Kluyveromyces lactis: one gene and its partner. The protein of the gene in region 2 interacts with the protein of the main gene of each other region in a pairwise test. Links are inferred from orthologs where the notes say so. Each region holds a gene or a part of one and is shown on either strand. Other genes may lie near its edges.

The links.
Region 1: the proteins of CIA1 (region 2) and NAR1 interact in binary tests that used the Saccharomyces cerevisiae proteins (3 or more experiments, as listed by UniProt). The link is inferred for Kluyveromyces lactis from reciprocal best matches to the Saccharomyces cerevisiae genes CIA1 and NAR1.

What each region holds. Positions count from the first base shown.
Region 1 is NC_006040.1:1,673,767-1,677,438, reverse strand, and holds NAR1 (iron-sulfur cluster assembly protein NAR1), read right to left. Parts: upstream 2,033-3,672; coding exon 623-2,032; downstream 1-622. Other genes in the region: kexin KEX2, read left to right, coding at 2,831-3,672. UniProt on the Saccharomyces cerevisiae protein: Essential component of a cytosolic Fe/S protein assembly machinery. Required for maturation of extramitochondrial Fe/S proteins. May play a role in the transfer of pre-assembled Fe/S clusters to target apoproteins.
Region 2 is NC_006041.1:1,944,122-1,947,349, reverse strand, and holds CIA1 (iron-sulfur cluster assembly protein CIA1), read left to right. Parts: upstream 1-1,483; coding exon 1,484-2,485; downstream 2,486-3,228. Other genes in the region: CYC2 (oxidoreductase), read right to left, coding at 87-1,160; SNAP receptor PEP12, read right to left, coding at 2,590-3,228. UniProt on the Saccharomyces cerevisiae protein: Essential component of the cytosolic iron-sulfur (Fe/S) protein assembly machinery. Required for the maturation of extramitochondrial Fe/S proteins.

The DNA of each region.
Region 1 (3,672 bases), on a different chromosome or scaffold from region 2:
CTCATTGGCACCTGGCTCATGTTTAGGGACTCGAAGATAGTTAACATCATCGTAGGTAACGAGAGGAATACAGTGTCTTTCTTCCTTTCTGCATCCTTGCCCTGGCCACCCTTTTTTTTTTCTTTTCAATTCTATGATAATTTTCCTTTGTCGCCGATGTGATTGTCAGCTTTCACCTGAAAGTAGAAAAATGCGTTAGCATCTGAGTGGATAGTTATACCGAGTCCCCACAGTGGCTGCTAAGGCCGGAAAAATCTCGTGCAATTGACACTGAGAAAGCTTATTTACACATACCATAAGAGGGTTGGATGGGATATGTCCACCGGGGTTTCTGTGCGGGTGATTCAACGGATATACTTACTTGAGTAACAGAAAGCCAATTAGATTATCCGAAACACAGCTTAAAAGGTGCAAGGGTTTCAGCAACCTATGATATCATTTTTTTTGGCAGTACAAGATTTCCAATATCGTTGATCATTGTCGTTTAGTGCTGCATGCCACAGATGTGGCAACCTTAGTAATTATCAATAGATAAATAAATATGAATGAGAGCGTATATACGAATGACTATGCGCGCATACTAGGTAATTGGATAAAGATTATGCAAAGGACTATGTTTACCCTACCATGTATTACCTACCGCGACCACGTCTGAAGAAGTAGACGGTTCGATAACGCGGAGGTTGTATTTGAAATCATTGGACTTGTCATCGTATGCATGGACTATGTCAGGGATGTTAACCGAATGAACCTTCGTGTATGCAAGCGATAGGTCTTGGGCAAGTTGTTTACGGCGGTTAGCATTTTTTTCTTCGTTAAGTAAACCACCGCCGTTGATACAGCCGCTTGGACAAGCCATAACCTCGACGAAGTCAGTTTTAGCTGGATCTGCTGTCAAAACCTTTGTAGTCTTTTCTGATGTTTCTCCTGATTTTAACACTGATTGTCCCCGCCTTTTCACTTTAATTCCCCTTTTTTTTACAGACGCTGATTGTGAAAGCTTTCGAACCAAATTTTGTATATTTCTAAACCCATATACCTCACTTGACGAGGCTATTACACCTTTACTCTTAGAAACTAATCTGTACTCGGTCACATCGCTGTTCTTACCTTCAATAGTGATAATATCTGACTCAGGATTCGAGGACTGTAAGGAAAGAAGGTATTGGTACGCATATCCGCCACTGCTACTGCCTTCGTTACTTAACCAGTGAAGTTTATAATCCCATCCGCTGGGACATAACTCTTTTGATGAATCATATTCCGTCATGTAACTCTTGAAATCTATCGAAAGATCTCCGAGCATTGCTACAAATTCCTTTGGTGTTATCACACAATCTACTTCTTTTTCACATTCTTCTCTAGATGCCTCTAGTTTTTTATCAAAACATGGCATTATGCTCAAGTGGTAGCATGTTGGATCTGCTTGTTTCAATAGATTGCCTGTTATTTGCTGAGGTGATTTCACATCTAACATATGAGGTATTAATTCTGGTTTCGTTTTCTCTGCATACAACACAAAACCGGGACAAACACTACACAAAAGAGGGCCTTCATTTTCCGGAACCCTGTCTTTTAAGGTTGCGTTTATCCGGGATATTGAAATAGACCTTCCAAACTGGGTACCAACAACATATTTCGCATTGAACTTGGTTTTCATGAAATTTTGGAAACATCGATCGAGGTCTGCAAGGCACATAGAGTAATAGTCAGCCAACGAAAGTCTACATTGAGGAGATATGCTGACAGCTAGAGATCGTTCATCTAGTTCTTCCAATTCGCTCCATTTTTCTAAGAACACCTTATGGCTTTGCTTCGATAATAAAATCTCTTCTGATGAAGTAATGCAACCAGCACAGGCTAAACAGTCTTGCAAACTGATCGATACCTTCTCAGGCTCACTAGATTCAATGCCAACTTCAACTTCAAATGATGGTTTCTTCTCAACCTTTTGAGGTTGAGCTGGTTTCACACACGCCAAACCTGGGCTTATAAAATCGTTCAAATCGGCATCCCTAAGTAACGCACTCATTGTTTCTTTCTATCTTAAAGATCCTCGAAAAAGAAGCTAAGCAGTAGTAGTGTTTTCAAATAAAATAGTCCTTAGTATGCAACTTGAATCGTTTTTGGCTTTGTATTCTGAACGTTCTTATATGGGCTTCTCTTATGCTACTCTGAGTCCATCACAATGAAATCACTTACTAATAAATCCTCTGTCTCAGTTTCTCTTATAATTTCTTTTGAATTGACTAATCAATATGTCAACATCGCAAGTGTCATGAATAACATATTCTCATTCACGTGACTAAAACTTGATAAAGATACCCGCCTTTGATTTTGTTTACGGCAGAAACTGAGAACAATTATTCTCACCGCCGACATGCTTTCGGTTTGGATTTCTGCTTTAGCATTGAGGTTGAAAATTATATTATTAGATCAGTGCCAAAACTGTGATGTTTTATTATGAACTGAGACATCAGTCGAAAAAGTGGACATAAGAAAGAGATATAGTGAAAGAAATACAAATAAACCCTGCACTTGGCTTTGCTAGAGGTTAAACATAGAAGACCTGTTAACGATTAGGTACGTTTAGAAGACTTTCTTATCGAATCGGGTTGCTCTTTCATGTGTTACACGTCTTTTATACAGCATAAAAATAAAGGCCATTCCAAAAAGTTGTACAATACTAAGGGTCTAGTACAGCTAGACAAATTAGGTGCAATCTCTAAATCAGGATATCAGCTCTACGCCGGGCAAGTCATTGAATAAGATTTTCCACTTACTTATTACCTTTTTCCCTTAATATTCCTTAATTTTCAGAACGATAGTTATGATCCTATCGTCGCAGCTCATGCTAGCTTTAATAGCAGTGTCAGGATACGGTAAAGCAATGCAAGTTCCTAAAAAAGACCACGAAAATAGGCAGTATTTTGCAATTGAATCTTATGATGATGTAGGTAATCTACTAGCGGAACACAGTGACTGGAGTTTCGAGCACGATGTTCGAGGCCTTGCCAATCACTATGTGTTCTCGAAACCGTTGCAGAGTTTGGGTAAACGAGATGCGATTGACACAGGATATTCAGAAAACATCATTGATTTCCACGATCTACCCCCCGTTCAGTTACACAAAAGATTGCCTATTGGGGATTCTAGTATGGAACAAATCCAGAACGCTAGAATTCTTTTCAATATTTCTGATCCATTGTTTGATCAGCAGTGGCACTTGATCAATCCAAACTACCCTGGAAATGACGTTAACGTAACTGGTTTATGGAAAGAAAACATCACTGGCTATGGTGTAGTGGCAGCATTGGTGGATGATGGATTGGATTATGAGAACGAAGATTTAAAAGACAATTTCTGTGTTGAAGGTTCTTGGGATTTTAATGACAACAACCCATTGCCGAAGCCAAGGCTAAAAGATGATTACCATGGTACCCGCTGCGCAGGTGAAATAGCGGCTTTCCGTAATGATATTTGTGGGGTTGGTGTCGCCTATAACTCTAAGGTATCCGGTATCAGAATTTTGTCAGGCCAGATCACAGCCGAAGATGAGGCTGCTTCATTAATTTATGGACTAGACGTTAATGATATTTACTCTTGCTCGTGGGGTCCATCTGATGACGGTAAAACTATGCAAGCGCCGGATACATTAGTAAAAAAGGCAAT
Region 2 (3,228 bases):
ATATCTGAAAAAATGTCCGATACAGCTGACATGATGGTATTTACAGTGTTCTATCAAATGAGAAGAGTTTATGTACGAGTCAAAGGTCACGACAACTTATATACGTTTGAATTATCCCAACCACGAGCAGCTAGTATTCCTTTGATTGGGCCTTGTACCAAATCGTACTTTGGCCCTGAAACCGTGGAAATAAATCCACCTGGACCGCATACAAGAGAGAGAACTGGCCTCACTTTTGAGTCTAACGAGGTAAACGGCTCATTACCACCGTATGGATAAGGAGAAGGTATTCCTTCCATGGCAGGATCAGATTGCAAAGGAATCGAAATCCGGTTACTCTCATGTGTATGTAATTCGATTCTGTCGTTATCTTGAAGTTTTGTTAGAATACTATTCAACGGCCCTAATTCGGTAAGTGATTTACAACTATGATAAGCACCAATCTTACCTCTGAATGGTGACTCAGTTAAAGTCATTTGTAATAAAGGAACGATACCTGTGCCTCCAGTAAAGAACAATATATCGAATGGTTGGTACTTGTAATTGTCTTTGACACAATCTTCATTCCCCCATAAGAACGATCTATCTCTCGTGATCTCATCGGCAGTATCAGGGAATTCATATTCTACAAACGGTCCACGCAGCTCAAGTACATGTCCCAAAGGTAGATGGTTAATCCAACGAGCCACTTCTCCCTGTTTATACTGTTTAATGTAGAAAGTTAATGCGCCGCTGGCGTTTTCCTCATCTCGAAGTACTTCAACGGCTCCGTTTTCTTCGATTGTCAGAGGCAGAGGTGTGTAGCTTCTAACAACCATAATCTCTGGCTGTTTAACTTCGACTGACCAGAGTTTTGAAGAGTTCATTTCTTTCCAAAGATTAACCTTCTGTGCTTTCAAAGGTGTCAATTCGATCAAATAGTGATCCTGATCAATGGAATACTTCTTGCTGATTTTGTACTTCGAGAAGTAATCCCTTGATAACTCCCTTTGATATAAACTCTCCTTGTAGTAGTTCCATGATAGCGCACCGATTGCAACAGAGCCAGACAGTAGCAGAACTGTTTTCAATAGCGAAGAAGACTTACCAGCAGAAGGTTGAGGTAGAGTTGTTTTCGATGACGACGATAATCTTTTGATGCTTCCAAGTAACAATTTCATCTTATAAGATTCTGATGTCGTGTATTCACAGGTTAGAATCGCCTTTTGGCGTATCAAAGGAGAGTATCAATTATTGAAGAACCACACTAATGACTTTCCAGGTCAATTATGCCAGTGTTATCATTCATATGTATCGATTCTTTATGCATGAGTCTTCCTTGCAATATCTGAAAAGATTTGAAATATAAGAACTTATAATAATTAAGACAAAGAGATCCAAACTTATGATAGTAGCCATATGCATAACACACTTGGTGTTTTATTGATAATCCAAAGAACAAGGATACCTGCAATTAGTATAAGTGCCGTATTAGAACTGAACGATGGCTGGGTTGAAGTTATTGAAGTCGCTTGCATTGCATGATGATAAGTGCTGGAGCGTCGACGTTAATAATGGTGGAATTATGGCAACTGGAAGTACCGACAGAAAGATTAAACTAGTTGATATACGTTCTTTTCAAATTATCGAGGAATTGGATGATACTGCACATAAGAAGACTGTTAGAAGTGTTGCGTGGAGGCCTCATTCTAATATCTTGGCTGCTGGTTCGTTTGATTCCACTGTATCGATTTGGGGCAAGGACGATGATGGATACAACGATGAGAATGATCTGGAAACGGAGTTATTAGCCATTATAGAGGGTCATGAGAATGAAATTAAATGTGTGGCATGGTCTCATGATGGTGAATTATTAGCTACTTGTTCGAGGGATAAGAGCGTTTGGATTTGGGAAGCTGATGAAATGGGCGAAGAGTTCGAATGTATCAGTGTTCTACAAGAACATTCACAAGATGTAAAGCACGTAATATGGCATCAATCGCTTCCCTTATTGGCATCCAGTTCCTATGATGACACGGTGCGTATTTGGAAGGATTGTGATGATGATTGGGAATGTTGTGCTGTACTTAACGGGCATGAAGGGACTGTGTGGTCTTCAGATTTCGAGAAATCTAATTCCAACGTCAGGCTATGCAGTGGTAGCGATGATGGGACCGTCAGAATATGGTGTCTCGAAGATGATAACGGAGAATACGAGCAAGAATGGATCCAAGAATCAATTCTACCGAAGGCTCATACAAGGGCAGTCTACAGTGTTAACTGGAGTCCTAAGGGGTATATTGCTAGTACCGGTTCTGACGGACGTCTAGTTATATACAAGGAATCGGAAGATGGCTGGATAGTTGAGTGCATTCACGAATTAACACACGGAGTTTATGAAACAAATATGGTGAAATGGGTAGAGTATGGCTCTAAAGATGTCATCTTATTGATAACTGCTGGTGACGACGGTCATGTTAACGTATGGAAATTCGATGAGAATTAGCTTCTTTGCCGGACTTTATCAATATCTGATTTGTAACCTAGTATAACCTGCATAAAAATTACATAAAATGGAGGCATCCATGACGCCTCATGAATACCATTCATTCAACTGAAAACAGCCAGTATTGTGAGAAGAAGGAAAAACAATAGTATGAAAAGGAAATGTAGTTTTAGCTTACTTGAACTGCGTCCGGATCTCATAGCGCGAGATAACTCATTTGCTGCATTTCTGGTATTATCTTCTACATTGTACAAATTAGCTTCAATGCTATCTACTAGCTGCCCTTGCTGTTGCACTAAACCACCTAAGTCCTTGAATATGCCATTTAATTCCGTTATACCTTGTTCTATGTTTGATATCTCTTGGTCTCGTTCCCTGATCAGATGTTGCTGGTATGCAAATTCCTCATTATTTATTGGTTCTCGCTCTATAACCACCTGTGTTCTTTTTGCGTGTTCATCTTCTTCCTCTCTTAAAACAGTATCCATCAAGGAATTATTTTGTTCTTCATCTTCCAAAGCCACTTTGGCCATGTCATTTATCCGCTTTGTAACTTCAAGAAAATGTTGTTGATATTTCTTGAATTCCTGTACAGAGAATTTCGCATCCCTAGTCAACTTCTCCCTTGTGATCAAATGAGGCTTATCCAAAGCCGACTCCTCTAACTCATTAACTTTATGAATATTCTCGTTTATCGATGATACTAATTTTGTACTTTTGTCTATTAGTTCAACCGTCTTCTT